4 linked regions of the Drosophila melanogaster genome follow. The protein of the gene in region 3 purifies or fractionates together with the protein of the main gene of each other region. This does not show direct contact. Each region holds a gene or a part of one and is shown on either strand. Other genes may lie near its edges.

Region 1 (5,121 bases), on a different chromosome or scaffold from region 3:
AATGCGATCTGCAAATGTATAGCGTAACGATAAAATACATAAATCAACCAATAATGACGCAATAGTGGAAAGTGAATGGCGGAGCCGAAAGCAATGCATTTAGTATACCCTTAATCAATTAAAAATACGTTTAAATACGTTTATTATTTAAAGCAAAAAACCTACATCCGTACATGATAATACGTGCAATTACTCAAATAATAACTTATTATAGTTAAAAAATAGTTTGTACTTATTTCATTTAATATTTAAATTATCTAGTGATTCTTTATTTATAAGAACATATTGTAGTTCAGTTATAAAAATAGTTATCAATAATATGGTAAATATAATGAATGAACAGCCTTTGTTGTATGGGTGATTATTATCACAAGTCGCTTTATCTGGCTTCGATATTGTTTATATGTGATAAACCCGATTGGAAAATGCGTAACATATTAGGGTTTGAATGATATTGACTACATGCGAGTAAGTTGCATTTAGGTAGGGTATTTAAATGTACAAACACCCAACTAAAATAACTGGCGATCGGCAGTCGGAGTGACGCCCAAGCATAACTGGTGCCTTATATTTATGTAGGCGCTTTTTACTTCACGATCGGTGCTTCTGTAGCGATCACAATTATTGTAAACAAATGGAAAAGTTGCTTATTGGCAAATTGGACTAACAGAGAGACAAGAAAAAAAAGGCAGATGTGGCGAAACATGTTGCCAGGCAACAATAACAAAAAAGCATGCATGCTGTGCACACATGGCCGTTTAATTCACTTCTCTGTACTCTAAACTATACTTAAACCATGCTAATTGCCTACCCAAATTATCAGGTTTTTCGAGGCAGTGACGTCAGGGCAAGGAGTATAATTATAATAATAGAATCAAACGATTTAGCAACATTGCAGTAAAAAAAAACAGAAGCAAAGGGGAGCAACAAAAACAGAGAGAGGGCAAAATAAGAGAGAGGACAACCAGACAGAGCGAGATGCCAAACAACAGCTGTTCTTCTTGCCAGATGCGAAATGGGCAATTTAATGAAATTTATCTAGATTTCACTCACTTTTCACTTGCCAAACGTCGTGTTTGTGCACTTTTCACAATTGTCGCGGCGTCACACGTTTATTTATTTACATTTCTCTGCGTTTCAGGCGCTCGCACGCTCAATTAGCGCGCTTTCCGCTTTGTGCCACACATTCTGTGCCAGCCACAAAAAAGCCCGCAATTCGCACTTTCATGTGTTTTCGGCTATTTCTGCGATCGTTTTTCCTGCACTTGCACTGCTCAATAGCTAATGTTTAGTTAATTGACACTTTCTAAGCGTTTTGCGTATATTTTTTACGAATTATTTTGGCAAAACGACGCGGTACCAGCGTCAACGTCCGCATTCTTCAAAATCGGCGAATGAACTGAACAAAACGAACTGCGCAAGTTGGGCAATAGGAACAGCTGACCGCGCTGCCAGACTGCCGAACGGAAACTCGCTGCGAGAGTCTGGCAGCACTTGCAACCATCGATATAAACTATTGGTAACGAATATTTAAAGAATTAACTTTATAGTTCCATTGAAAATACATACATAAAACAACTATAATTATGATACCTAACATAAAACATCGTAATATCTTATTTATAGTTATCTTTTGTATGCAATATTCAATTTTAAGTTAATTAGATAAACACCAAACGTTTTTTTATTTGTGAAAATAGAAAAAGAATTCAATAGAAACAAGTTTTCAAGGCAATCTGCATATTCTTAAATCCAACTTTATGGGCACTTTTGAATATTCATTTATTTTGCAGCCCTAGCAATCGCTGAGCGATAACCATAAGTTGACTATCGATAGCAGCAGAGCGATATGCAAAACAAACGAAAAAAGTAAAAGAGCGGTGTAAAGCAGACAACATAGTTTACATTTTTTGCAACAAGTTTTTCAACTTAAAGCCAACTCCCATCGTCCAATGGAGGTGGACCAGATTCCCCTGGCCGACGTGGTCTTCGTCATCGAGGGCAGCGCCATCAACGGAGCCTACATCAACGAACTAAAGACCAACTACATCCTGCCGACTTTGGAGCACTTCACCACTGGCTCCATCGACGAGCGGGAATACCTGATTGCGGAGCGCTTTGCCACTCTGTACGGTATTGTGGTCTACCGTACAGCGGCCAATCTGCTGGAGCCAGTTTGTTCAACCTATGGTCCCTTTCTGCAGCCCCAAAAAGTGATGGAGACGATCGAAAGATTGCCACTAGTGGGAGGCGGAATGGAGTCCTGTGCCCACATGGCCGAAGGATTTGCTGCGGCCCACGGCTGTTTTGATGACATCAGCGAAAGGCGCCAGTTGCTCGATCAGACCAGCGTCCAGAGGCACTGCATTCTCATCTGCAACAGTCCGCCGTACCAGATGCCCACAACGGAGTCGTGGAAGTATCCGGGCAAATCATGTGAGCAGCTGGCGGCGCTCTTCAACGAGCGCAAAATCAATCTCTCCATTATTGCGCCACGCAAGATGCCGGTGTTGTTCAAACTTTTCATGAAGGCCGACGGAGATCAGCCCATTACGAGCAAAAACTATGCCAAGAACATAAGACACCTAGTGCTTCTAAAGGGATACAGCCTCAAGGAGAGAGCACCTAGTCCCAACAGCATGGCGGCCCAAATGGCTGCACCCAATGCGGCACAGGCTACAGTGCAGCAGCAACAACAACAGCAACAAAATCAAGCTGGTCAGCAACAACAAGGGCAGGGCATGCCCATGGACACCACTCCAGCCCAGCAGCAGCAACAGCAACAACAACAGCAGCAGCAACAGCAACAACAAGGCAATCCTCAGCAGCAGGTCATGAACATGAACACGATGCAGCAACAGCAGCCCGGTCCAAATCCCCCAGCGGGCTTACTCAATCCACAGCAGCAGCAGCAACTATTGCAGCAGCAGCAGCAGAATCAATTCGTTTCCAATCAAATGCAGAATCAGAACTTCCAGCAAAACGTGGGACCCGGCCAAAACCGCTGGATGTATCCCAACCAGCCTGGTCAGGCGCGTCCGCCCTTCATGCAGGGAGCAGGCAATGTGGGCGGTGTGGGCCAAGGCGGCGGCATGCAACAGAATCCAAATTCTGCTCTGATATCGCGCATTAATGCGCCGCCGCCGAACCAAACTGTGACCTCGCTGCAGCAGCAGCAACAGCAGCAGGCGCAGCAGCAGCAGCAGCAGCAACAACAGGCCCAACAGCAGCAGCAACAAAGGATGCAGATGCTGAGCCAGCAGCAGATGCTAAATCACCAGCAGTTGCAGCAGCAACAGCAACTGGCCCAGCAACAGCAACAGCAGCAGCAAGGACAGCAACAGCAGCAGGTAAATCCCAATGCAGGAAACAATATGATGCCGGCTAGCAATGCCGGCAACATGTCTAATCCGCAGCAGCAGCAACAACAAGTAGGACAACAGTCGAATCCGCAGCAGCAGGGCAATCCGCAGCAGCAACAGCAGGGAAATTCGCAGCAGGAGCAGGCCTCCTTGAGGGAAAAGATATGGACCGGAGTGCTGGAGTGGTCAGAGAAGCCAAAGTCCGATCAACAGAAGATTCCCCATACACTCCAGTGTACCGTGTGCACCAACATCAAAGATGGCGAGCCCGAGATCAAGGCTGAGAACTGGCCGCCCAAGCTGTTGATGCAGCTAATGCCCAAGCACCTAGTTGGCAATATTGGTGGGCAGTTTCTCAAGGACTCGAAAATGGTTGTTTTTCGACCCACTCCAGGAGAGGCACTCGATTCGCTGGCCAAGATGATGACCTCCGGCTATGCTGGCTGCGTCCACTTCTCCTCCATCCCCAACTCACCAGCCTGTGACCTTAAGGTTCTCATCCTACTCTACACGCCCGATCGCAACGCTTTTCTGGGCTTCATTCCCAATAATCAGGCAATGTTTGTGGAACGTCTGCGCAAAGTCATACAGCAAAAGCAGCACGGCAACATGCAACAGCAGCAGCAACAGCAGCAAATGATGCAGCAGCAAGGCAAGTCGCCCATGGAGCTGCAGCAGCAACAGCAACAACAACAACAGCAGCAACAGATGCAACAGGATAACTCGCAGCAGCAACACTACAACCAGTTCCAACTCAATATGCAGATGGGTGGTGGAGGTCCTGGCGGCGGACCTGGTCCCGGTCCCGGCGGCATGCCCATGCAACAGAATCAAATGCAGATGAACATGATGCAGCAACAGCGAATGCCACTGGGCGTAGGTGTTGGCGTGGGTGTTGGTCCCGGTGGCGTGCCCAATCCAAACCTCCAGCAGCAGTTGCAACAAGTGGCGCCAAACGTCGCCGCAATGCAGCAGCAGCAGGCGCAACAGCAGCAGCAGCGCATGGTGCGTCCCATGATGAGCAACAACAACCCGGGGCTGCGCCAGCTCTTGCAGCACCAGACCACGCCAGGCAATCAGTTCCGGCCGCAAATGGGTGGCCAGAATCCCAATCAAATGGGAGCAGGCGGTCCAATGGTCGGCAATCGCAACTTTGACGACGGAAACTATGAGTTCATGTAGGCTACTTAAGAGTATCGTATAAAAAACCAGAATTAAGACAGTAAAATATTTTATAAAATCCAACTGCAAGTCTTTTTTGGGGTAGTGGCAAAATCTATTTCCCAAAATCGAAATATTAATTTCTCCATTTTCATAACATTTCGTTTATTTAATTAGTAAGAATCAAGGGAAATCCGAATTTGCACAAGACTTATATTAATCACAGAACATAATCTCCGAGAAAGTCCACTAGTTTGCTCCACCGCCGCCGCCCCCCGAGGATGCGGAACTTGCACTTCCAGCGCTAGCGGCAAACACCTTGCGAAGATTCTGCAAGATGCTGAACAGAACCGTTCCCGCGCTGCCCAACGTTTCCAGAACATCGAATCCGGTGCTGTCGATGGCTGTCTCCCGATCCTCCTCCGTTTCGATGGCCGGGGAGCTGATGTTCCCGCCATTGTGGTGAGTTTCGTGGACGCCATGGTGTCCAATCAGCCGATGAGTATTGCTCTTCACATGGGAGTCGTTCACGCCGCCACCGCCAACTGTGTTTATCAGGTGCTTCACCGGCTCCAGGACCGGAATATTTAGCTTAATG
Region 2 (4,586 bases), on a different chromosome or scaffold from region 3:
AGTAGTATTTAGTACCCGTTGTTTAAAGGAAAATAACAATTCATGTTTCCTCTATTCTAAGATCCATACTATTTGGCAATTGCTTTCTGAAATCAATGAAACTCAATAATCACAGCGCATAGTTTATATCAACTTGATGATCTGGTAAACGAAATCAGATTGTTACATTAAGTTTGCATTTGGAAGATATCTCCGTTTTAGTTCTAAAAAGCTATTTGATTATATAAGAGAAATCTAATATGTATTCCTTCATATCCTTCCCACAGCAAAAGTTCTTCGACTCGGGCGATTACCAGATGGCCAAGCAGAAGGGTGGCGGCGTCAAGCAGGTCTTTGCCAACAAGGTGACCACCGGGGAGGCCATTCCCACGCCCGAAACCGTGCCGGCGCGCAAGACTTCGATCATCCAACCCTGTAACAAGTTCCCGGCGACGAGCTAATTTACTCACCACTCAACACTCACCTCTACTGTATCCACAACCTCAAGTGCAGCCAGTTCTCCGTTCCCCACTTCAAATGCTCTATACCTAATTTTAATGAAAAACCTAATGCTAAGATGGCTGCTGCCGGATTGTGCGGGCATTTCGCGACAGTTTAAACTGAAATTCTAGCACCATGTTCCGTGTTTCCCCCGTTAAATTCAATCGCCATCCGCACTGGCCAATCAATCTCAAGATCAACTCATCAGTCCATCTCTCAGGCCGGGGAAGCGAAGATGGCGAGCCGAGCAGCGCGAAATTTATTGCAACAGTTATATATATCTCTATCTTTGTAACATTAAACTAACTTACCCTCGTCGTACATAGTTGTAAGTATTACGAGCATAATAAATTTAAGTTGGAGCAGCCAGCCACACACACACACACGTTCTCGTACATTACTGGGATTCCATCAAAAGTTTTTAAAAGTTCACCATGTTCTATGGAAAATGTTTTTATATTTTTTTTTTTGCATTCATTCTATAAGCAGTTGACGGAATTTCACCAACTAATTGATAATAACATAGGTACTGCTGCTTGCAGAGCTAAATTTTTGATGCAAAAACCAAACAGTCGAGTTAAAATGAATTTGTAAATCAAGCAGAGCTAAAATAAATGTATGTACGTATACTTATAAATGTGTTGATTTCCTGGGGCGCTAACCCAACAACTGAATCGGAAATGTGCCATACAAATGTTTACTTAAATTATAAGTGCCCGGAGTGGAGTCTAATTAACTAGGAAACGTTCCTTCGAGCGGTGTGGTATGGTAATTGGTTGTTCAAATTGGACGGGAACGAAATGAAATCACCAAAATAGGTGGGAAATACACAATATTTAATACAAATAGATGGGTTCATATATTTTCATACGAACATCGTGTTTTAGTTAAAAGTTAATCGAACTTGCAAAGTGAGTTTTAGGCCCAATTAAAAAAGTTTTAACCAATAAAATCGCTTTTTGGACCACAGTACAAATGAAATCAATCAAATATCCAAGTTTTCCACCAATCGATACCAGCAGATTAAGCATCCATATTGCCACACTTCTGGAACTATCGATAGTATCGCATAAACAGTGTTTTGTACCAACTCTAGGCGGAAGGCGCAGCGGTGATAAAAGAGAAAAAGTGATCTTTAAATGCAATTTTTCGGTTCCAAATTGCATTTGTTATGTGCTACGCGATAAGCACCGCATCGCACACCGTTTTTCGAAGTTCGCAAATGGCCAAGATCAGCGGAAAGACGAGAAAACACGCTGCAATGTAGATGCCCACGAGCAGCCGCGGCAGCAGCAATAACAAAAGCAAAAGTGAAATTAGCGCCGCCAGAGAAGTGCAAGTGGTCAAACAAACGGCGGCGCCATGGAGAACCTCAAGATAAGCGACAAACTGTTCGAGGATGTGATATACTTTGTGCTGGGAAATCTGGACGAGGAGGTAAAAAGCTGCAAAGCGAATCTTTCGTTTGCTGTTGCTGTACTTGCATTGTGCGTACGTGTGTGTGTGTTTGTGTGAGCGGGTGTGCGTGCGTCTCACAGGGTGGGTTGGAGCGCGGGCGGACAGGGTAACCCGGGCACCTTGGCAAATGCGCGCCATAAAAGTTGCCGGCAAATTGCCGTGTTTGTGTGTTTGTGTACTGGAGTTTGTATTGGTGCTAAATCAACTGATTTTTGTTTTGGTTCTCCTCTACCAACGGAAGCAACATATTTGGCACCCTTGAAAAAAGAATTCTTATTTGGTCACATACATATATCTTTTATATATACTGTTTAAATCAAGTAATGTAATAAATAATTATTATGCCTTTGCCTTGCAGATCGAACGCTTTCTTAAGAGCGGTGGCGCTCAATCGAAACTGTTCCTGTCGGACCAAATCACCCACATGATATGCGCCACCAACTACAACGAGGAGGAGCTGTCCATGAACCTGGACCTCTACAGTGCAATTCCCGTAACGGAGCAATGGATCGTGCACAGCGCCAAGCTAGGCCGAATGGCCTCGACACGGGCTTTCGACCCGAGTCCGAATCAAATGCGGTTGATGCGCGGCATTCGGGTGGCCATCACCAATGTAGTGGCAGGGGATCGAAGGCGTCTTTACGCCATGCTGACATACCACGGTGCCGTAGTCACGCACAGCTTTGGGGCCACCAACACGCATCTGGTGTGCGGTGCAGCCAACGGTGGCATCTACAACAAGGCGCTGGCCCTGCCCAAGAATGCCATCATTATTGTGACGCCCGACTGGGTGACAGATAGCCTTAAGTACAAAAACTGCATGCCCGTGGAGACGTATCATCCGAGACTGCTGAAGCCCATTGAAAAGCAGCGAACACAAAAGCAGCAGGCTACGCAGCAGCAACAAATTCAGCAGCAGCAGCAATTGCAGCACCAACACCAGATGCAGCAACAACAGCAGCAGCAGCAGCAGCAGCAACAACAACAACAACAACAACAACAACAACAACAACAACAACAACAACAACAGCAGCAGCAGCAGCAGCAGCAACATCAACAGCAGATTATCCAGCAACAGGCAACGGCTACTTCTGCCCTATCTGACATCCTTGGCTTTGGCGAGGACAGCGTAGCTGCCAAGAGCATCGCTAGCATTAAGTCTCAGCTGCAGGCTTCAGCTGAACAAATACAGCAGCAACAGCTGCCCGTACCCGCACAGCAGCAGGTGGTCTTTGTGCGCCCACAGCCACAACCCCAACAGCCAGCACAACAATCCCCTCACCAGTTACAGCAAGGTGGTCCTCAAGCACCTACTCCTGCACCACACCCGCAGCATCAACAACAATTAATAATTCAGCAGCAGAAGATTATCCCCGCCAACCTGCAGCAGCAACCACAAAACCAGCAGCAAATCAAAAATATCCTACAGCAGAGACAAATGAAAACAACGCAGCAGTCTCAGCAACAGCAACAAATCCAAATGCAACTAATGCAGCAGGAGCAACAGCCGCATCCTCAACCACTTCAACAGCAGCTTGCGCAACAACACCCGCAACAAATCGCACAGCAACTTCCACAGCAACTTTCTCAACAACATCCACAACAAATTCCTCAGCAACAGCAGTCGCCCCGACTGCCAACGACTCCAACAGGCCGGCAGACACCACGTACACCATCTACAACGCCGCAGCCCGTGCAATCCCCTCAGCACCACCAGCAGATAGTTCAACAGCAACAGGTGGTGCAGCAACAAGTGGGCCAGCAGCAAACGATGGTACAGCAGCAGCAGATAGTTCAGCAACAGCAAATTGTTCAGCAGCAAGTTGTTCAGCAACAGCAGCCACAACAACAATCTGTGCCGGTTTCGCCGCAAATCATACACCAACATCTAATGCGGCAGCAACAAATTTTGAACCAGAATCAAATGCAATTGCAGCAAATCGTGCAAAGCGGACAAGCATTGACGCCGCAACAGCAGCAGCAACAGAGACAAATTCAACAACAGCTGCAACAAGTTATGCAGCAGCAGCAGCAATTACAGATGCAAATGCAGCAGCAACAACAGCAACAGAATCTACAACAACAACAGTCGCCTCGGATGGTGCAAAACCGTTCGCCGGTAATGCCACCAAGTACGCCATCCCCATCGTTGCAGCAACAGCAGCATCATGCAACTAGCAATATGTTGCCGCCACAATCGCCGCGACAACTGCAATCCCCAGCTCCCCAAATGACTCCGCCACCTCCGCCCTCGCCGCAAAACGCCCAGCAACAACATTTGCGCCAGCAACAGCAAATGCAACAGAATCGACAACAGCACATGATGGGCTCGCCACAACAACCTCAACCACAATCTATGATGTCGCCGCAACAGCAGCAACAGATGCAGCCCTTTCAACAGCCCGTCCATCAACAGCAGCGCATGCAATTGCAGCAGCAACAACAATTGGCCCAACAGCAGCAACAACAGCAACAGCAGAGTCCCCAGCATATTTCTCCGCAATCGCCCCAGATTTCTCAAACTCCACCCATGCAGGCAAAGCTGCATCAGCATCAGGTGGTTCCTGGACAAGCCACTCAGCCGCAGCAATCATTCTCCCAGCAGAAGCCTATCGACCCAACGGACCCCGTTCAGGTAGCTCAAGTGC
Region 3 (5,162 bases):
AATTTTTTTCATTTACTCCCCTTTTAAATGTACGAATTAATCAAACTCACTTTTTAAAAATATTGATCATTTCCTGACTTTACGTTGGTCAAAACCAGACACTGCTATTCTTATGAACAGCCTAAAAGTTGTGATTTCGCTTAAGAAAGTAAATAAAAAAAGGATAACATGAAAAACTAACCGGATTTTCTTTTTTTCCCTATATACACATTCCATTTAACAAAAATAAGTGGAATAAAAAGTCAATTCCGAAAAGGGACATGGAAAAATACCTTTGTATTAATTAGTATTCCTCGCACTGCTATTTTTCTGAACACAGCTGTACATACCATTTTATATAATAGTCATTTTTTATATGTATACATGATCCAATTTCTATTGCCCAGAATTTCAAAAACTCTTTCGAGTTAGATCAATTTGCCTGTTGGTGATTAGAACTACGATACCTCAAAGTTATTATGGTATAACCACAGAACCACAGAAGCCCATTGATACCAAATATCAAATCAATATCAAATATCAGTATGGTATTGTCGATTGGAAAATAGGGACGCCATAGTTGTGTGCTTTATTTCGTTTATCCGACTTCACGTGGGAAGCGTAGTCAGTGTTGTAATGTCTATTTAAAATCGTAAGTATATCAGTTAGCGAGTTCCGTAGCGACAAAAGGGGTTAGGGGTTAGAGGCTAGTACAATCGCCGCGTGTAATGCATCTGCTGACCAGGAGGCGGCTGGGCGGAGCCGGATCCGGACGGTGCTCCCGGCTGGCCAGGCAGCATCGCCAGCTGTTGCCGAGCCAACTGCTGCTCGTGGGCGGATCCACCTCGTCCAGGGGCATAGCCCTGTGTGATGCTTCCCGCTGTTTTCGGATTCTGTGGAGGAAACTGGCCAGGCGTTAGTCAAGTGAATATTTAGTTCTTCCTTGTAAATGATATCAAACATGTTAATCAGTAGTTGGGAAGTTGGTTCTAATGCGTTTTCCTATGAAAACATGAAAACCTGCAACAATGAATTTGTTTTATAGAAAACAGCTCTTATTCAAGATGCTCAGGCTTTAAAAACCATTTTCGCAGAGCCTAATCGTTGAACTTCGATTTCGAAGATGTAAATCTAACTTGTTTGTTCTAAGTTGTAAATTCTAAGACACTGCCACGGCTAATTAACCACAAATGTTGAGAATGAGACCCACCTGGCTGCTGCTTATCTGCAGCACGTTGCTGTGCAATGAGAGTTCGTTGAGCAGCGGCTTGAAGATGACGCCCTCCGGCAGCAGGTGTGGCGGAGGCGGGACGTGGCTCGGCGGCTGGCCGTCGTGCTTCACCTCGATGTGGTAGCGGTCCGGTAGCTTCTCCATAGTCACGTGTGGCTGGGAGGCCTTTACCGAGAGGCTGCCGCCGGCTTGAGCCACCAGGTCTGCCTGCGAAATGGTCGGCTGGTCGAGGTTGATGTGAAGCACTTGCATGGGCTGCGACTGCGACGGTGCCTTGGGCGACTGCGAGTCGGGCGGCTTGCTGACCGTGGCGCTGGGCAGGTCCACGTGGTAGGCCTGGCGCAACGGAAGGTTGTAGTTGTAGATGGACTGCAAGCGGGCGTCCGCCTGGTGCTGTGTCGTCGGCGGAGGAGCGACCGTCTGGTAGAAGACCGTTCCCGTGCCCGGATACTGTGCCGCTGTTTCTGGAAGAGAGGAAAAGTGAGGTTTAATTGACGAATCTGGCGATCGTTCCGACGGAGGATCTCGGGCTTGGTATTGCAAGTGAGGTGCTTACTGTTCCATGATAATCTAGCATAGTCAGCGGCACGACGGTAGTCATCGTGTTCTGCGAATCGATCGTAAACAAATAACGAAATGAACATAAGTTGTGTGCCTGTGTTGTTAGAGGTTAGTGTGCGCAGTGAAATGGATTTCTCATGAACGGGACGGAGTGTTAGCGAGCAGTTAATCAAGAAGAACAGCGAAAGCTCCGCAGAACAGATCAATCGGTGATTGTATCGCACCTTTAGCCAATGCCAATTTGCAGTTGAATTTTAAAACTCGAGCTATCTGCTAGAAACCCTATATATATCGTTTCTACACTATATATCCTTCAAAATAATAGGGTAATTTTTGTGCACATTAAAACACATTAAACTAAACCATCCAATACAAAGCCTAAACAGCACGAAACTTTCTTTATATCGAATTGATTATTTACTTAACACTTAACCATGTTTTTGCAATCATTCCTAATTAGAAGTTCAATTGATATTAGTGCTAATATTTCATAGAGCTTAAAAAAGGGCTTGGCAATCAGAATGTAGAGATGATGACATCACAAAAATCACGTATATCTCTCGTCCAAATCAAGAACCATACATATGTGCTAACCAATTCAATGACTAATCAAATTATGAGCAGATCCCGCATTCGAGTTAACAAAATCCAACCGAAATTGCGTGCATGAGACTTTGGACTGCCTGCCTGAGGCAGCGTTCACTGTATCGGAGGCCCAGGGACCACATTGTCGACCTCTTCCTGGCTTACTCTGCTGGGCGTAGCTGGCGGCGCTCTTGTAGTAAGCCTGCTGCTGACTCGGCGGCGATGGACTCCTGCCACGTTTTCCTGGCTGTCCGCCGGACGGGAGCTGCGAGGAAAAAAGAGGACCATTAGAACCTGAATCCCACAATTGCGCAGTCGAGACCTTCTGCATCAGCGTATGGTGCTGGTGTTGGAGGCGCAGGGGCGGCAGGAAGACCGGGCTACTGGCCGCCGCCTGCTGGATGGCGAACAGTTCGTTCTCCTTGGCCAGCTTCTTGCGCGTTTCGTCCTCGTTGAGCACCTTCTTGAGTTGGACGGTCAGCTGATGCTTCTGGCTGTGCAGATCGGCCAGCTGCTCGTCCAGTCGGGTTATCTGGCCGCGTGTGTCATCCAGGGCCACCTGGTTCTGGCGCTCCACCTCCTCGCGCTCCCGTCGCAGCCGCTGCTCCTCGCACTGAGCCTCGAACTCCTCCTGGCGCCGCTGGCGGTCCGCCACGATGAAGCCCTTCAGTGCCCCGCGCAGCTTCTCCGCCCGCTCGGCCTTCGCCGCCTGGGCGGCCGCGTTGCTGTTGTTTACCGCTGATGCTGGCGGCATCTTTGTGCTCTGCTTAGTTATCTTGCCAATTTTATAAGCGTTCGTGGACGACCGGGCAATCGCGACTGTTTGACCGAACCGACCGAGAGGCTCCCCAAATGGAATGGCGTGCTGGTGGCGGTGGGCTGGAATCCGGGTGGACACCGCTACGGGAATCAATGGTTGGGCGTCTTGGGATCACTGCAAATGCTCGACGCCGGGCTGCACTTTATTTTCGTTCACTTTCAGCACGGTTTTTTGTGGTAAACAATTTGTTGAGTGAGTGGGATGTGCCGACCAGTGTTGCCACCAATCGATTAATGGGCAAAGCTAGCTAGAAAATAGCTACTTTCCGATTGTGGTGGCAAATCTTAAGTTAACGTTCGAACTAAATCACTTATAAAGAATTCGATTTTTTCTTTAAAGCTTATATTCCTAATATTACTAGTCACACCCCAGAATTTAATATAAAATACAAATAGTTTCAACACTGATCGATACTTATCGATAACTTTTTGGAAACAGATTATAGTTTTTGGAAAATCCAAGCATTAAAGTCTAGACATTCTAGAAATGTCTATCGATGTTAATAAAATGCGTAAGCATCGATATGGCATCTCTCATTGGAGGTATCGTGCAGCTCGAGCTCTGCGGTCACACTAGAATTGCAGTTGTTGGTGTGAACGTCTGAACGCGATTCGGAAAATACGGATTACACGGATAATACGAATTATACGGATATTGCGGAAGTTGAACGGAGACGCGACTGAAAGAAAGCCGTGAAATGTGTTCAGTTGCGCGCAGCAGTCATTAGCCTATCAGCAGTGTTTGTTACAAGCTAACAGTGATACAACGTGCCTGGAATCGCAACCAACGCAGAGCAAGAAAAGCAGAAAAGCATAAAAACGGAAGAAGCAGCAGCGGAATAATCAACAAAGGCGGCAAACATGGCGAGTGAGTAACATCGAGCATTTCTCTGCCTATGGAGCATCCCAAACGACATACAGCAGACCCCGGATTCCTTTTCCATAGCATAAACAAACGCAATTCATGCGAGTCATTGCAGCGGCCGTTTTATGGCTGCAGTGCAGCATTTACGAGCTGCGAAAACTTCCAAATCGCTGCCAGGTGTCGGAGGAAGTTGCTCCGAGCAGGGGCAGTGGGGTGGGGGCGGGCGATGCGGCTCCCTAGACAAGATGTGTGTGTTTGCCGGGGACATGTGAGAAAAATCAATACTTATGCTCCCCACTCCCCATCCCACTGCACAGTGGGCCGGTCGGATTAGGCAGATGCCGTGCTCCTGCTGCTGTGCGCACCCACTTATCGCGGCCAACAGGGTCAGCGCTTCCCAATCAGAAATCCCGCTCTTTTATCCTTTAATGGCCCCGGCAGTTCTGGCGGGAATTAAGTGCGGCTGAGACAGCGGCCACCACCGTTTTGCACGAACCCGCCACCCGAGCCGCCCACTCCACCGCAGCACAGGAGGAATAGGAATGGGAACTGGGAACAGCAGTGACGACGCATTAATAAATGAGAATATGCCTCCTGCGAGGTGCCAGGTTTACCGGCGTGTCGCAACACTCCCCGCAGTCCTCACAATTCGTTTTATCCCCACGGGGGGTGATATAGCAAACAAAACGATGAAGTCATGCACAGTGAGAAATCTATGGCAACTTTGTTGAATTGTTGATAAACATTACAATTAGGACAATCTTCACAGATTAAGCTTAAAAGGGCTTAAAATTCGATACTACTTTGCAGTCAAAGCGCAGTCATTGTCAAGATAAAGCTGTGACTAACTAAAAGAAACCCCTTTTTTTCTTGTGTTTCTCAGTGTAGTTGGATGTGTAACGTACGCACTGGATGTGTTATATTTGGGTCAGTCACCGATGAGAATTGTTAAACGTAAACAAGTCTCTAAACTTCTTAGTTTTCAAACGTGACTGCACCGAATCAACACATACATAAACACTGGCCACAGACTGTACTGTTTGTATACCCTTTCCCGAGGGGAACCTGTGCAGAACGACAACAAACAGCACTTGAACGCGCCGGCAATCCCGGCCTCGAAAC
Region 4 (7,184 bases), on a different chromosome or scaffold from region 3:
TGTAACGTTAGTATAGTTAACTACGATAAATGCGATTGGGACGTTTCTCTTTTAGAGTAATTTAGTCTAAAAATCATGGTATTTGGGCTAAAAGCACACACTCGACTTATTCTATACAAACATATGGTTTTCTCCATCCGTTTATGCGGATGGATTCAGTCGGCATTTGAATGCTACAAAAATTCACTCACACTCAGTCTCAAGCACACAATTATGATCGACTTAAGTTTAATTGTTAAATAAAAACAAGATTAAACAAATGCGTGGAGAATGTTTACAACAAAAGATCGCGAAATATTTGAAAATACATTAGGGATAACGATTTTCGGCCTCAGTCGGCAAAATGATTTTGTTAATATAACAATTTCCATATTAATTGCACGCACAAGTGCAATAATTTTGTAATTTTTACATACAATTTTGTTGTACAATTATAAAGTCATTAACTAATAAGATGTTTTTTTTTTTATATAATAAGAGTACAAGAAGACACACAATACAAGACAGTTTTGGTAAAGGTTTTTTCTGGAACAATTCTTTTTTTCATACGTTTATGTTTTATTAAATAAACCGAAATTTTAGAGTACAATAATATTGAAATTCTGCTGCGAAGACGGCGGTGCAGGAATGCTAGTTGTTTGTTGTTTGATGATCCAGTGCGCATCAGTGTCTATAATGTCCCACGCTGACTGTCCCCTTGGCTTCTCCATCGATCCTCCTGCTACTGCTGCTGACTTCGGTCTGCCGGTCTTGATGTTGCCAGGATTCTGTGATGTGAAGTTGGATGGATCCAGAGGCAGTCCCCGTCCGTCGTTGGTAAAATCTTGTCAGCATTTCGGCTTATTATAGTATGTCTAGAAGAACTATGCTGTTTGCCATATTCATATCCTACGTATTGGTAATGTTAGATACAAATCGAAAATCTGTTAATTGTGGCTAGCTTGTCATCCCACCAAGCTGCGGCTTATTGTTTGTTAATAGAGTGTGTTTAGTATATCTGTGTTGCATCTTTACACTTGATTACGGGTCCACTGGCGATGGTTCCAACTTCCACTTACGGCAGTCAATGCCGGGAACGGTGCTCCTCACGCCTGTCGCGATCACGCTCCCGCTCGCGGTCGCGGTCTCGATCGCGGTCGCGTCGCTCACGGTCCGAGGAGCGGTACCTTTCCCGATCCTCGTAGTAGCGCTTCGATGATGGCGCCTCCGCTGCTTCGGCGACTACGGGTTCCGGCGACTTTCGTGGACGCACCGATCGGCTGTTTTCGGATTATGGGATTGAAATTAACGCAAGGTTTTCATTTCGAGCTTAAAAATAATTCGCTTAATTGTCACCGTATATTGTTGCACAAAAGAGCAAAAATATTCTGATGAGCCTAAACAGTTACAATTCAAGCTAACATCTTTACAGAAAGCTTTTAATGAAAATAAAAAATTTGAAAAGCCTATACCTTAAAAATACTACCTTTTAATAAATTATACATTTTTCCAAATATTTTAAAATAAAGTTTCGTCTGACTTTACAAATCTACACTTGTTTTTACAGCAAAAGTAAAAAATCTGTTTACGAGTGAATAAATTATGAGTTCTATGCTATTTAAATGAAGCACTATGATTAATTAATCAGCAACTTTTAAATGAGACAGTGAAGCGAATTTTTAGAAGTAGAACGTCTTTACCTGTCATCCCTGTAGTGATCTGGAGCCTGGCGTTCACGTTCTCTACTGCGAGACCTCTCTCTGTAGCTTCTAGAAAATGAATACGGAATTAAGTGTGAGGCTTACACATGGTAGAACCAAAACTTACCCGCCATCCCGTTCACGCTCACGATCCCGATCGCGTTCCCGCTCCCGAGATCGCTCGCGGTACCTGGACGTGGAACGCTCACGTCGCTGTCGGCTGCGATGAGATCGCTCCCTCGACCGCGACCTTTCGCGCCTATTGTAGCTCTTGGCCTCGATGCCATGCAACGTGTCCTGCAGCGAGCTAATCAGAATTTTGCATCGCTCATCGTGCGCTACCTTGGACTGTTTGATCAGTGAAATGGCTGTGACCAGTGTCTCGATGGCGCTCGAGTATTCACCAGCGGCTGCATCAGAAACAGCTCTGAAAATAAATTAGCATAAAAAGGGAATTGATATTTGATCAACAAAGTAATTAATTATCTAGATAATTTATTAATTAGACCGGATCTGAGTCATAGTTTCAATAATTGGAATTTTCTATGAATTCGACTTAGGAATGGGTTAGTTTTTAAATAATAACTACAAGTTTTGACCTCGTTAAAGAAAACATTTTAAAAACCTTTGCACTCACCTGGCGATCGCCGAACTGCTGACTGTGCGATTTCTGCTCATCACCTCCTCGAACTCCACCTCCGTCAGTTGCGGACCCATCTGCTGCGGATCGGGGAAGGGACCTGGTGGCTTACCCTGCGGTGGCGGCCACGGACCACGTGGTCCATGCTGGGCGAACTGGGGTGGCGGTCCATGCTGTGGCGTCATGTTCATGCCCTGTTGCGGTGGCATATTCATGCCTGGCTGTGGACCTGGTGCTCCGTGGGGCGGGCCACCCATGCCCGGATGCTGGGCAGGACCACCAGGCTGGTTAAAGAATGCTGGGTTCACGTGGGGTGCGGGTGCGCCGTGTGGTCCGCCCGGACCTGGTGCTGGGGGAAGGCCACGTGGCGGACCTTGCGGCGGGAAACCACCGTGCATGGGTGGACGACGCCAGTCGGGACCTGCCGGACCCCTGACGGGCATGCCCATTGGGCCTCCTTGGAACTGCAAGGCAGAAGAGACAAGATTATTTACTGTTCCCAATGATCGGATCGAATCGGTTTCTAAGCTATAGTATGAGTTTGTGTTGCATGGGTTGATCTGTGGAATTACTGAAAATGTTCTGAATACATCGCTTAAGACTAAGTTAACTAAGGTTAACTTAAGTTGGGTTAGTCTTCCTTTATCTCGCCTTCTCTCTGGCTTCGTTAGAATTATATTATGGCATAGATACAAAGAGGACTCAGTGCTTTGGGGATTGTTACCATTGGTCGCTGCGGTGGTCCGTTCGGTGGACCTGGTCGCGGCCCGCCTGGCCGCTGACCTGGCCATTGGCCCTGCGCTGACGGATACCGGGGTGGCGGCTGTTGGTTCCCCATGAGCCCGCCTTGCGGATGCATTGGCGGCTATATTAATACGAATTACGTTTTATATTGAAGTAGTAGTTGTTGTTGTGGGGTAGAAGTGTGCGTAAGCGTTGTCAAAGACATGGAATAGAACATAAATCGTAATACATAAACATTTTGTATAACAATAGCGGGCCATTATACACAATTACAAATACTAGGGGGGGAAATACATTAACGCAATTAAATCAAAAGTATATATTATTTGAGTGGAACCAGGAAGGCACTGCTCTTGATTTTAATTTATTACATGTGCTTTTTTTTGTTGAAAGTCTATGACTAGAGTACAAAAGGAGTAAAAAGAATACAAACTGCCTTAGGCCGAGGAGTGCTACAAAAAATTGCTCTGAAATTACTTGTGAATTAATAGAAGTAAAGAATAAGAATAGTACTTAAAGACATAAATAAAAATTCTTAGAAACTTAATTTGTACGACAGCTTTAGTTTAGTTTATAAATTATCAAATGAAATACTAACAAGAGATCGGATATTTCAGATTGTTTATATCTCACATCTAAAGTCGTTATTGTTTTCTCTAAATTGTAAAACTAAGTTTCTACGTTTAATTTACAAAAGAATATCGAACAACTGAAGTAGAACATATTCGTTTATAAACTATACATGAAGTCGTATATTTAGGGTTTCTAATTTTACCTAAGTAAGCAAATTTTGCATTCAGAACAATTTTGATGGAAATAGGAAATAATGTAGGAATGTAGAAACAAAACAAATTAGAACCGAGCGATATTTCTACAAACGATGAGACCTCTTGGGGCCATGTGGGGCTAAAACAGTGGTTGTGTACCTGCATTCGTGGAGGTCCTGAGTTGGGTCCGCCCACCTGGGGAACCTGCGACATGTGCTGCGGTCGGTACTGGCCCGGCTGCATGATGGAGTTCATCCCGCGCGGTGGATGTCCCGGTGGTCCACCTCCTTGCGGTCCTCCTGGATGTCCGGTGGGCATTGGCCCGCCACCCATACTGGGTGGTGCCGGACCCCTGGGCGGTCCATTCTGCTGCGGCGGCGGCACTGGACGCGTCTTTTGCAGACTCTCGAATTGGGTGAGTGCCTGCTTGCTGGGATACGTGACCACCGGCGCTTGGCCGTGCATCTCCTTCTTGGGCAGCTGGTCGAGCACGGCGCGCAGGCTAGATTCTGAGCCGAGGGAGATTACACTGAAGCCCTTCGACTGACCGTTGGCCCTGTTCTCAAAAAACTTCACTTCCTGTAGATCACTCACGCCAATGTCTCGCAGCGAATTGGCGATATCCTGGTCAGTGGTCCACCATGTGAGATTGCCCACATAAAGCTGGTAGCGGCGATTCATGGTCGGAGTGAGGCTACCACTGCTCTGATGGTACACCCCATTGGGACCACCGGAATTCCGTTCGCCGGGTTCCCCGGAGCCTGGCCCTGCGGCTCCATCTGCGGAGGGCGTTCCACCGCCCCCGCCACCTGAGGCGGCCGATTCGGTGGGACCGCCTATGTCATCGTATAGGTCTACTCCATCGCCTCCAAATTCGTCCTGTGCGGATAAAGCAAAGTAATTAACAAGTGGGTCAAACTGTTGTGGGAATCCCGTAAAATCGTTAAAAATAAACGATCAAGTCTTGTTTTTTTTACAAATTCGATTTTACTCTATTTTTACTTTAGAATTTTTAGAATGTATAGTTATTGGGATTCGTACAATTCTCTACATTTCCATGGCTAAAGAAATTAAAAAAAATTACGTTTCATTTTTATATAAATATAATATCCCTGCACTCAGTTCCTAGAACCCTACTTTACAAGGTACCAAGTGGTCGAGTTCGCCCAAGACGCCGTTCTACCCCCTAACGCAATTCTTTCGGACATCGATCCACCCTACTGTATACATACACACGCGGCTTGCAGAGCGACTGCCTTTTTCCCATGGCTTACCTGAGCCTGCCCGGCAAAGTCCTTGTCGAGGTCCTCCGCGTACAGATCCAAGACCACGTCGGCCATGTTGAGCCGGAAAAGTTGCTATTCCTAGGCGTAATTACTGATTTTTCACCGCTTTTCCCAATTTTCGCACGCACACTAAGACACTCGCCAATCTTTCCGTCTCTGTCCCACTTGCACTCGCGCCTCGTACAGTTTCTTTTTTTTTGCGGGGGAGGGGGAAGCCGGAGCAGAAACCGGCGTGCTGCTGCGCGATTTAGCCGGGTAATCGCGCCCGCTGCACAATTAATTGATTAATTGCTTTGGCGCGTTGTTTTCCGTTGGGTGAATTCTGTAACTATTTACATTCTACTCGTGCACGAACTAGTTTCTTCAATCTTGCGAAAAAATTGTCAGCGTAAAATGGCGGAGCGGTGCAGTGTGACTGTAAAGCTGAAATGTGGAAAACCTATGCGGTATATTTTTGCTCGCATACTAGAAAATACCACATCCTGTTTGGGGTATTCCGCAATTTGACAGTTAATGAGAATACAACTACGATAAAATATATTTAATGAATAGAATTTAATTAGATGTGTTTGTTACCTAAATCGCTTTATTATTACCATAAAATAATCACAAATACTTGACATCAATTTCCAATTTGACTGTGGTCGTAGCGTGGACACAAACCATTGAAAATATATCGACTTCTATCGAATTTTGAATTTTAAAACCAACCGTTAGAACTTTCTTGAAATGTGTAATAAGTTCATTAGGTTCTTTGTTATTAAAAATCGACATGTGAAAATACTTAACATTCATTACAACACCCATAACAGGCATATCTTAATTTAAATATGCATACTTCTAATAAATTTGCCTTTTTAGGGGACCACCATCACACACACATTAATTTGCATAAATTGTTAATGCTGCCCAAAAACTATAGCCATGCATATATTAGATTTGCAGGTCCAAATAGACGCTGACCGTGTCACTTGCACAACTAGACAGCGCACTTGGCCAGAGCTCCAAATTTAGAATTTAAATATAGCAATTAAGCTGATTTATGCGGCCCGTCTGCAGGTTACAATAATTGCCGCTAACAACTCGGCTCTCCGAAATCTTCGAACTTGCTGGTGGCTGGGAACCGAGGAGATTGTGGCGCCGTCGACTTGGCCACTCGTATGCAAATGCGCGGTGAAAAATTGGGGGAAAAAAAAACCGAGGCAGCATTTTTTAGTCGGGCCTGTGAAAAAAAAGACACATATCCCGAAATCTAGTGCATGATTAGCCATGTTATTCGTGTATCTGATGTTTTTTCATTTTTCTTCTCGTATTTGGGCAGTAGTCCACCTGTTGGTATTTAGTTTTTAACTTTGGCTCTTTGACTCCCATATGTTAGTTGCGTTAATGAATTGCCTTAAATGTCAATTACCACTGGCTTTTATCGTCCAATCTGAACGGACGGCAATTATATTTGCTGCTCTCGCCTCATGCGATTGTGTGTTTAATTAACAAGAGTAATTAAATGGGTAATTACGATCTTTACAGCAATCAATCGATTTTTAAATGCTTCAGCGAATAAAGCTATTGCAGATTGGATTTTCGCGATTTGCATATGTGGAAATGTGTTTCCAATTCAAGGTGGGCGGTTCTTCAAGAGCAATCACGCAGATGGAAATCGACGGATGTTGGTGGCGAGGGTGCAGTCAATTGAAATTCTCGGCTAATCGCTGACATTTTTGGGACAGAATTGGGGCTCAAAGGTGCAACATTGAAGGGGAGGAGACTTACGCACGTAGTATTTATCTTAAATATACTGCACGCTTTTAAAATAACCAACAATAATAGGATAAAAATCAATTGCTATGAAAATATTGCGCATACGCCGTGTGGCCTTTGGCTGGCTATCATAAAAGTCGTATAAGTGTTATTGAATGTTTCCGATCACTTAGATCTACATAATGGCTACCACTCATATCAATTGCCCCCCATCGACCATTTCGGACGTGCGTAAGTCATGTCAAAAATTTATTGCGTGACCATTGGCTGGGATACTTTATCAAAAAGCGGCGCCGCAGCCTAACAAAGT

The links.
Region 1: the proteins of CG17002 (region 3) and MED25 purify together in Drosophila melanogaster (affinity purification with mass spectrometry, with the first as the bait; one large-scale study listed by BioGRID). This does not show direct contact.
Region 2: the proteins of CG17002 (region 3) and Ptip purify together in Drosophila melanogaster (affinity purification with mass spectrometry, with the first as the bait; one large-scale study listed by BioGRID). This does not show direct contact.
Region 4: the proteins of CG17002 (region 3) and Cpsf6 purify together in Drosophila melanogaster (affinity purification with mass spectrometry, with the first as the bait; one large-scale study listed by BioGRID). This does not show direct contact.

What each region holds. Positions count from the first base shown.
Region 1 is NT_033777.3:20,007,108-20,012,228, forward strand, and holds MED25 (mediator complex subunit 25), read left to right. Parts: upstream 1-1,839; 5' UTR 1,840-1,952; coding exon 1,953-4,544; 3' UTR 4,545-4,605; downstream 4,606-5,121. Other genes in the region: CG17190 (uncharacterized protein), read right to left, coding at 4,773-5,121.
Region 2 is NT_037436.4:14,026,101-14,030,686, reverse strand, and holds the start of Ptip (PAX transcription activation domain interacting protein), read left to right. Parts: upstream 1-1,565; 5' UTR 1,566-1,842; coding exon 1,843-1,917; intron 1,918-2,296; coding exon 2,297-4,586. Other genes in the region: endos (endosulfine), read left to right, coding at 267-440.
Region 3 is NT_033778.4:6,984,293-6,989,454, reverse strand, and holds CG17002 (uncharacterized protein), read right to left. Parts: upstream 3,413-5,162; 5' UTR 3,111-3,412; coding exon 2,679-3,110; intron 2,622-2,678; coding exon 2,522-2,621; intron 1,818-2,521; coding exon 1,767-1,817; intron 1,675-1,766; coding exon 1,190-1,674; intron 885-1,189; coding exon 687-884; 3' UTR 533-686; downstream 1-532. Other genes in the region: vimar (visceral mesodermal armadillo-repeats), read left to right, coding at 4,037-4,043.
Region 4 is NT_037436.4:8,309,968-8,317,151, forward strand, and holds Cpsf6 (cleavage and polyadenylation specific factor 6), read right to left. Parts: upstream 5,536-7,184; 5' UTR 5,171-5,535; coding exon 5,105-5,170; intron 4,710-5,104; coding exon 3,990-4,709; intron 3,185-3,989; coding exon 3,044-3,184; intron 2,784-3,043; coding exon 2,317-2,783; intron 2,107-2,316; coding exon 1,807-2,106; intron 1,749-1,806; coding exon 1,680-1,748; intron 1,260-1,679; coding exon 1,064-1,259; 3' UTR 526-1,063; downstream 1-525. UniProt on the Drosophila melanogaster protein: May play a role in pre-mRNA 3'-processing.